2 linked regions of the Arabidopsis thaliana genome follow. The protein of the gene in region 2 interacts with the protein of the main gene of each other region in a pairwise test. Each region holds a gene or a part of one and is shown on either strand. Other genes may lie near its edges. The genes, in order: AT3G50560 and AT5G14910.

The links.
Region 1: the proteins of AT5G14910 (region 2) and AT3G50560 interact in a two-hybrid assay, tested with the Arabidopsis thaliana proteins (one large-scale study listed by BioGRID).

Annotation. Positions count from the first base shown.
Region 1 is NC_003074.8:18,760,272-18,766,012, forward strand, and holds AT3G50560 (NAD(P)-binding Rossmann-fold superfamily protein), read right to left. Parts: upstream 3,786-5,741; 5' UTR 3,565-3,785; coding exon 3,423-3,564; intron 2,561-3,422; coding exon 2,295-2,560; intron 1,876-2,294; coding exon 1,782-1,875; intron 1,677-1,781; coding exon 1,565-1,676; intron 1,181-1,564; coding exon 976-1,180; 3' UTR 735-975; downstream 1-734.
Region 2 is NC_003076.8:4,821,581-4,826,243, reverse strand, and holds AT5G14910 (Heavy metal transport/detoxification superfamily protein), read right to left. Parts: upstream 2,663-4,663; intron 2,546-2,662; 5' UTR 2,430-2,545; coding exon 2,136-2,429; intron 1,902-2,135; coding exon 1,848-1,901; intron 1,585-1,847; coding exon 1,525-1,584; intron 1,177-1,524; coding exon 1,048-1,176; 3' UTR 592-1,047; downstream 1-591. Other genes in the region: AT5G14900 (helicase associated (HA2) domain-containing protein), read left to right, coding at 2,663-3,568.

The sequences.
Region 1 (5,741 bases), on a different chromosome or scaffold from region 2:
GGTAGGAGCATGAAAGAAGCAGTTTATCAAAGATCATCTATTGCTAAGGTAAATCATATACTATTTCTATACATGCTCTTAATACCAGAGATGTCGAAAACATTTGTTAATGCAATGGAGATTATTGTTCTCTTCACACTTATATAAGTTTCTTCAGAGGGTTTAACGATTTTAGAATGGCTAGCCCCAAAGACTATTTGTAAACTTGTGTTCGAATCACTCATAAGTTCGCTTGTCATATATGATCGTCTTATGATTGTACTAAGCCTACTCTTAGCGAACTACCGGTATTCATGATTTTTGGGGTGGCATGCAACTTCTTTAACTCACTGTTCCTGGTCTAGTTTTCGCTTCTTTACGCAATACAATAACACAATGCTAGCACAAATGTGTAGTCAAAGAAAACTCTCAGTGTGTTCTTGTCACCAATGCTTATCTGTACTTTTATTTTGTTATTCTAGAAGTATAAGAAAGCTACAAGACTCGTTAATGATCTCTTGATGACTTGACTATCACCAAAGTTTTACTCTCGTGTGAAAAAATGGACCCCGAAACATAGAGTAGTTCCTTGACGTGACAACACTTAAGGACCATTGTTTCTAGTTTACCTTTAAGGGGGTCCCTTTTTATTTTGTGATCGGATCTTAAGTCCATTCACATGACTTGTCGGATCTTCTTGTGTCCCGAATTTAAACACCAAGGCACTTGTACCTTTTTAAACTTAATGCCACAAAAAAAGTTCAAGCCTTAGCCGACAAGACAAAACCATCATCTCTAAAGTCATGCAAACTAAAGAACAAAATGAAACTATTAATAGATAAGAGATTGATAGCTTATTCACGCCAATCATAAACCAACCCTTTTAAATACTTAATTACATTACAAACACAAGAATACACATACATACACATTTGGCTAAAATAGCATTGAATAAAATCATAAACCAATCAACTTGTATTTTTTTTTAAGTACTAGCTAGAAATTTGGGTTTGATGGTCGGATATCGAGTTCATGTGTCCAAGCTCTCCGGTCTTGAACATGGAGATACCAATAAGTTTGAGCCAATACATCAGGATCCATTCCCATCACTCCCGAGCTTTCTCCTTCTCCTTCTCCATCTTCGCCTCCTACGTTGAATGATTGCTCTGCGACCATTCCTCGGGGAGGGATGTTTGTTTCTCTGAAAACACATTTTCAAGAGATTTTATCTATATATGCGATACTATTTCATTTTGTAATATCTTCAAATGCTTAAATGTGTCAATAGAGTGGACCGTTGTGAGTGTGGGGACTCTTTTTCATATTTGACCGATAGAAGATAATGAAATAGAGGCTATGGAATCAAAAAATGGTTTCCATTTGCTAGAAAAAAATAGCAAATAAATAAGAAGTGGAGCTACATGATTCTTTATTTGCGATTTTTTTTTGAGGTAAGAATCTTGTCGGTTTGGATCAGAATCTTGCCGTTTGTGGAAGGTATAAAAAGTTAAAAGAGCCTTTTTCGGACAGATATTTGTGGTTCTAATTCAATTATAATGGAAAATGATCACATAATTGTGTGTACCTTGGAGGTCCAACCACACCGTCGATGATAACATGAGCCACATGTATTCCAAAAGCTTGATATTCTTTTGCTAAGCATTGAGACAGTGCCCTCAACGCAAATTTCCCACAGCCTGTGCCAATTTCATATATTTTCTTCAGTGACTAACCCATTAATTAATATATTTTTTTGCGAAAAATTTAAATAAAATCATTTTTAAAAATCTTGAGAAAGTTACATAGTTCGGAGAAACCAGCAATGCCATTCAAAGACGCCGAGCAACCGGTGAAGAGTATAGTTCCTTTTCCTTTCTCCATCATCCCGGGAGTAACCTTTTGGTACCATTTATTATAAATCAAATATAAACCTTAGAAATAAGAAGCTTTTTAAAGAAATTGAAGTGTCGAAATCATTCACTATAACATTTACGCTTCTGCTTCCTGACATAAAATAAAAACAGGATTTGGTACAACTAGCACATCAACAAATGATTAAGTAATCTATTAAAAATTTACTTCTTGTGGAAATAATCTTATCTATTTTAACTAAAACATTAAAAGTCTAATAAAAAATGACGCTTCCAATAATATTAACAAGTGTTTTTGATAAATTATGAGTCAATACAAAGATTATCCTGATCAAACCTTATATTCTAGGGTTTTTGGGCCATGACCAACATGCGAGGGATTTCAAAAGAAAACATAATATTGTTTCGTATATAATAACTAATCGCGATTTCAAGAAATATCACCTGTTGAGCGCAAAGAAATGCAGCGAAGACAGAGACAGAGATAGATGTTTGGAAAGATTGAAAAGGAATGTGGGTGAAAGAAGTGGGATGGTGACTTGCGTAAGAAGAATGATAAGCATTGTACACTAAAACCTCCACGAACCCTAACGACAATACTCCTTCGAAGGCTTCTCTTACACTTCTTGGATCTGCACAATCAATTCTTATAGCAAACACTTGTGCTTTCTCTTCTCTTGCTATCTCTTCTGCTACTCTAGATAACCTACCTGCACAATTTACCCGACTATATTAAGAGAGTGACCAACCTGAGTATATCCTTAAGTGTTACTAAAAAAAAGTGTTATATATATTTTTTGTAGTGGATCGGCAATAAGTGCACCGTTTTGTGATTAATATTAGCTGATGGGCGTAACTTAGTAACTATTTCATATACATGGAGGGATGAAGAAAACTATTTATTATTATAGTCAAATGGAAACCAGTTTAATGTTCTCATCACCGAACAGAATGAAAAAGTATCTTTTGTGTCAAACAAAAACAAAATTATTTAAATTTAATCAAATAAGTTTTCACTGTACTGGTTCTTAAAAAGCTGAATTTATCGACACATTTATTTACACTGAAAAATTTCCACTATTAGTACTATGTCTTACGAACCAGTTAAGCCTATAGTGAAGTACTGAATAGTGAATACTGATGTATAAACCCAAAATCTTTTTTTTTTATAACCAAATATACATTTAAAATGCACCTTTTGACTATAAATTATATATTGATTAATATGCATGTATGTGTGTCAGTGTGTGTGTGTGACTGTGTGGTGTGAGTCAGCCACATTAATATTTGCCAAAAGCAGAAATCCAGCGAAGAAAAACATTCTAAAAATAACTCTCCTTTTTTGTTTGTTCAAGGCTTCAAAAATAACTCATTTTGCGAAGAAAACTGCCGCAATTCCTTTTCTTCATTGGAATAAAAATGAAGAAGAAAATTCCCATGGGAACATATATAGAAAAAATCATATTTATACATGGAAACATGTGGGTGTGTATAGTGTATGAATAGATAAAGATATGGATAAAAAGAAAAGCAAAAAACAAAATGAAAAGAGAGAAAGAAAAGGAATCAAACCAAGATCACGAGCGAGGATGGCGACGGTGTAGCCTTCGTGAGCAAACTTCCGAGCGATGGAGCGACCGAGCTTTGGACCAACGCCGACTACGGCCGCTATGCCTTTGCTGCCAGAGCTCGAACTCCCTACGTTTCTCATCATCGATACTTTATGATCTTTCCTTTCTCCACCTTCTTCTCTTTATAGCTACTTCTCTATGGATAAAATCGATAAATAGTGAAAAATAATTATAAGAAAATTTTAGTTTATGTTGTGTCCCCTTAACCTAGGCCTTTAATAAGATTGTGTTGAGAGAGTGAGAGAGAGAAATATTCTTGTGGACTAGATAAATTTTTGGTTGTTATATATACATATATACACACCTTTCTTTGTCATTATATCAGAAAAGTTTCATTTCCTTTGATAGCAATTATATAATTTTAACATTGCAATGATGTAACAATTTGCATAAGTATACGTATACCTTTATCGAATTATTAATATTCTATATATATATAATATATGTGTTCTAGGTGAAAGATGGTACTGTCCAATGGATAGTGTGGTTCTTAGACAAAGAGACATGTCATGTGGAAGAAAATATAGCAATTGGTTCTTACTTGTTAGACTCTACAAGATGTTTCGAAAAGACCCATATAAGGTCGACCGACTTTTGTAAATTACGTGGTCGAGGATTTTATTTCGATCTATTGGTCAATATACCATATGCGAATTTTTCATTGCACTTTTTTATGATTTGGTCGTTCTAAATTGTTTAACATTAAAAATTAATAGTATTTTTATGCATTTCTGAATAATAAGAAACTATAGAAACTTTTGTGAATTATAGGAAAGAGTAGGAGAGAACCCTTATAGTATTGTTTTGTAGGCTTGTAATGTTAAATTTAATGTGATGTTAAAACTTAATTTATTGATGATTAATAACTTTCACATAAAATTAAGGAATTTTGTATGCACATTTTAAAGAGTTTATATATATTTCTTATAAGAAATGAAGAAAAGTAATGAATATGATAACAATTTATTAAATAGGTTGACCCATATGCTCTCTTTTTAAGGGGATTATTATTATGAGATTACCCCTTTTGATTTTTGTATATAGATTTGGCTTTTATTTTTGTCTTACAAGTTGGACATTTGCTGCCCCCTTTCCTCTTCTGTCAACAGCTCATAGGCATTTCAAACATATACATACAAATGTATTTCATCGAAGTTTCTAGATACATTACATGACATGTATATCCTTATATTTAATTTAGTTTTTAATGTGGGCTCTGATTGATAACTTTTTTTTACCGTTGCGGTATAGAGCTTACTGATTTTAGAATGACTAATTACAAAGCGGTATGGAAAGCGTTACCAAAAAAAAGGGAATCAAAAATAATGGTCACCGATTCTTATATCGGTTACAAAGTTATATTTATTTGTGTTCGTGTCACCACTACTATATCCTTAACAAAGGTGATTAGGATTGCCGATAACATTACCCTCGTGCTTTTAGAATTATGAATGATCAAGAACATTTACTCTTGCATTTTTTTTTTAATATACTCAAATTAACTTACATTACTCTTTCTTTTATTTGTTAAAGATTAACATTACTCTTGCTTTTAGATTTATCAAAGATTATCCTACGACTGATATGAGATATCTTAGATGGGATATGTGAATGTGAACTGCGGAAGATAAGGATTGATAGATTCTTGCAACAACAAAAAGGATCTTTCAAATACGGAGGAGATAAACTTGAACAAAAATATATATATATATATATATATATATATATGAAAAAGTGGCAATAAGATACTAATTACAAATATTATGTCATTATACATGGGACCAGATATTGGTAACTGAGTAACTAACCCATATCATCTATGATTGGTCTAAATCTTCTCAAATCTTTCCTCCATTCTCTTGTAACGCCCTTCGATATCACCTTTATATAATTATTCATGTGTGTGCATTGCATTATATGATCGAGTCTTTTAGTTAAGTTCATATTAAGTTGATATTAACATATTTAATCATTTAACATCAAACAAAAAATATACAGTGTTCTAAATTATTCAATAAACAGTAAGACTACAAAACCATATAATATAGTGGCTAGTGCTAAATATGTGTCTTTACTATAAAAATATCAGATTATTAGTTTCTTTAAAAAACCGAGTTTAGCCGTTTATGAACACAACCTTATGAAAATAACATAAAGTCTGGTCATTCTCATCATATTCTCGTTTTTAAACTCTCTAAGTGAAAACAAAACAAAATATAGACATTATGTTATTTTCTTCTCATGATTGCTCTCGCACCGT
Region 2 (4,663 bases):
ACCCCAAGAGACTAGTGGATGACAAATTGAAATTATTAATCTTCTTATCAAATAAATAAATAGCATTCGATTTGCCCATAAGGCTGTGTCGCTTATATATTTCATATAAAGAGGCTCTTCACTTCGATTATTGCACCAGTGAGCAAGGGTTTGTCGTTTATGTTTAGCTAACTTAGCAAGCATGGCCTACGAGATTACTACTATACTTTGTTTTGAAATATCTAAGCTATATGGTATATATCTTTCATATTTTCTAATAAAAAATTAAGTGTTCTCAAATCATAGATGGACAATAGCACATGAGTTCTTTAAATGGTTGCGGTGATTATTATTATTATTTATTTATAATTCTGATATTTTCGAAAAAGAGGTCAACAGTGTAATTAAAGTGAAATCGACAACGAGTACATACATATTTTTTATCATTACATATGTCGCGAGTACACACACTTTCCTCTTTTCTGTTAACATGATAAAATTTTGTTACGAATGAATGTTTCTTATCTTCTTTTACGTAATGAATAAACTAAAACAGACTCCACGATGACATAGTTTCATAAATTAAGATGTTAAAACAGAGGATTGTTTCACATGTTTTGGTAAGAACAGGTTTTTGGTCTATAATATCACATTTTTTAAAAAAGTAAAGATTTGGGTTATAAGTACAACAATGCATGAGCTGTGATTCACCATATCATCAACCACAGTACTCCACAATGTCAACATCGTACATGCATACATATACATAGTGACAAATGACAATCATATCCACACACAAAACTAAATGCATTGTACAAAGCAATGAACCTAAAAGTCTATAAAAATGCCAACCTCCATGCTTTGTGGGAACCCATATGTATATGACCCACTAATCAATATAGATATTTTCCATTTCTCTTTTATTTCAACAAAGAAAACATTAATTCCCACTTTCTAAAAAAAGTTACCACATTTGTTTTCTTTAGAGGAACAAATGAAAGAAATTATCCCTAGAATTGAACATTATGAGTTTCTTTAATCACAAAATGGAGGAAAAGGATGATTTCACTAGACAAGAACCTCATCGTCATCTTCAAAACTCAGATTCAAAGTCTGTAACTTAAATCCAGCTCCTTGTATAGTCTCCACCAAGTTTGACGCCACTCCTGTTGCTTGAACCGTTGTTTGCTTCAAAAGCTTCACATACATTGATCACAACATAAGCCAGATTCAATTGTACAATCAAACATAGAGATGTTGCTACGAGCAGTAACAGAACCGTTCATATAAAGGCCTTAACTATTCAAGGTCAGGCTCGAGGCTTTTGTTATACGGCCCCAAAGACTAATCCCCTGGTTAACCACCAAAATGTACAACAAAATGACATATTTGACCAGTCCAGTCCTTCTAAGGGTGTGCCAGCCATTATATCTCTAATAACATATTCAACATCTGTCCTTATCTATTTATATCCTCTAAACATATATGTGTACTGTGTAGGGGTGTGAAGAGACATGTAAAGGCAATGTTGGATGTAAAACATACCTCAACGACGGCAACACCTTCAGAAACCTGAACCTTTAAATTGGAAACTCCATCAATATCCTGAAAGAACAAAACAAGTATCAATTGGAACCTTTATATTCACTGTTTTTGTAAGCTATAGGTACTAAGGAAGATTTAGAGCGTGGAAAGAGTAAAGTGAACACCCAAATTCCAAGTTTAACACAACTACAAAGATTAAATTGAATTGAAACAAGTAACCAAAAGGGTTATATAATCCAAGAACCAGATGCATTCACAAAGATTCTCGTCAAGCTCCACACAGATTTGCTAGTTCAAGGAGAGATTACAAAGCAAAGTATTACCTGTAAGGCCCTTGTCACATTAGGAATAGCTGCTTCGTTCAAAGTTCCATCAGCCTTCATAATCAAGCAAAAAATCCAACAATGTTCAGACTCAATTTGAGGCCACATGAAATTGCAACAGAGTAATGCTCATAGTATCTTCAAAACAGTATCAATACAATTTTGCAAACCTCATTTCTAAGACCTTATAATACAACCATGAATCAATCCTACTATATCTATTAAAAAGCCATAAGTGGAGAATGAGGATGATAATCACACAAATTCACTGGACAGAGAGTGATGTACCTGGAAAAACATGGTGAGCATGTCTGAAGGAGAGACAGGAACAGAGACAGTCTCTTGCGGTTGCTCCTCTGCGACAGCGACACCTTCTCCTCCTTCTCCAATAGACGAAAGCTTCCTCAATCCAAGGCGATTTTGTTTTATAAACCCAGCAAAACTGCAATTGCGGCTATTTCCGATAGCTCTGGTCCGAAAGTTGAGGTTTTTCGACAAAGGAAGAAGGTGGGTCGAAGAAAGATTAGGGCTTTTGGTTCTGCAAAACGAGTGAAAGGTAGAAGAAGCTGCAATCGACGCCATTTTTCACTACTGACCCAATCTTCTTTCACTCGATAAGGTTGTGCGAGTTACAAGAGAAGAAGGTTTTTTCATTTTTGTGTTTTGCTCTTTTCTCACATTATCCACTCGAAGCAAGCCTGTAAAAAGACATAAATACCCTTTAGAAAAGCTCTCTTTCTGTCAGAAGGTTCATAAATTCATGGAGTAATATAATTTTTGACCATCAAACATTATATTACTCCTTGCAAATGACAATGACAAACCTTGCAAACACAGTTCTGACCTTGAAAGGACTTAGTGTGAAAAACTTGGTACGCTTCGATCTTATAGATTCTCCTGCTCCTGATACCCTCGCTCGGGCCTTGGACGATTTGTATCATTTGGGAGCACTTGATGATGACTGTAACTTGACAAAGACAGGTGAGATGATGAGTGAGTTTCCTTTAGACCCACAGATGGCAAAGATGCTCATAGTCAGTCCTCAATTCAACTGCTCAAACGAGATTCTTTCGATTTCTGCGATGTTATCAGTACCAAATTGTTTCATCAGGCCAAGAGGAGAAGCTCAAAAAGCAGCAGATGAAGCCAAATCTAGCTTTGCACACATTGATGGAGATCATCTCACACTTTTGAATTTGTTCCATGCTTTCTTGCAAAACAACCAAGACCCAAATTGGTGCTGTACAAAGTTCATCAACTACAGAGCAATGAAGTCTGCAGTTAGTGTTAGAGAGCAGTTGGTCCGGATCATGTTGAGGTTTCAGATTAAGTTGTGTAGCCCTGATTTCAACAGCAGGGACTACTACGTCAACATAAGAAAGGCCTTGCTTGCAGGTTATTTCATGCAAGTGGCTCACCTAGAACGCACTGGCCACTACTTGACTTTCAGAGATAAGGATGACCAAGTGGTGCACTTGCATCCTTCCAATTGCTTGGATCACAAACCAGAGTGGGTAGTTTACAACGAATACGTTTTCACTAGCCGAAATTTCATCCGAACCGTCACACATATTCGCGGTGAATGGCTTGTAGATGTTGCACCACATTACTATAAGCTTGCTAACTTTCCCAGTTCTGAGGCCAAACGAGTTCTTGAAAGGCACTATAAGAAGAGAAAACTGTCAGAAGAGAGGAGTTGTAAATTGTATAGCAATTCTTAAAGAGAAAATTTTGTTTTTAATTACATTAATTTTGTTTTTTTGCCATTGTGTAAGCTAAATATATCTGCAACTTGCAATGAAAAGCTTAGTTCCAACACCAATGAGATGCTTCCAGCTGCATAAAAACTCAGAGCTAAACTTTCACATCATTACCTTATTAGTTGAATAAGATTCCAATACCCATATCCATCCCTTAATTCAGGGTAATATGTCTAAATCACTAAGCTATTACCACTTATTCTAAAAGCATATTGTTCATCAATTTTAGCATCTCTGCAGAAGTAATAAGATCCATAACGCTATACCGTCACTTTAAATCATACTGCACCTAATTAACGGACAAGATGGACAACATTTAAAAAATATAAGATCCACCAACGATATAAAAAATGTACAAGTGAGTAGTAGCTAAAACGTAAAAAAGTTTCTACAGAAAAAAAAAAAAAAAAAAAAAAAAAAAAAAAACTGATTCAACCACAAGACAAGATCATTGTCTGAAACATTACATTGTGTTTAGTTTTCTGAACACATGAAACTGTAGGAAATCAGCAGAGGTACTTAGAAGTAAACTCTAGCTTTTGGCAAGGTTCCAAATAGGAAATTGCATAAGGTAATTCTACAACAATGTAATGTACCTGAAAAAAACATGGTGAGCATGTCTGAAGGTAGAGACAGGCACAAAGACAGTCTCTTACCGTTTCTGTTGCTATTCCTCTGCAATTGCAACCTTCTCCAACCCATTAAATAGCTTCCTTTCTCCTATTTCTTGTTGGATTATATACTGTATTTTACATAAATATATAAATATATGTTTCCTACCTTCATCATGTCTTTCTCTAAAAAGTTTATCTTTGTGTGTAGAATTACAAAAATTGATCACTAACAATTTTCTCACAAAATTTGATCAAATAAAGTTAATCAAAAATGGGAGAAAATAGTGATCAAATAAATAATTTCATTCAAAGTGAAAGAATTACAAAAAACAAATAAATGAAAGCTGTGTAAAAAAGTAATATTTCTTTGCAAAGAAAAAAATCCACTGTTTCTTCTAATGTATCTCCCCTTTCATCAGTGCGGTGCACGTTAGCGCCAGCC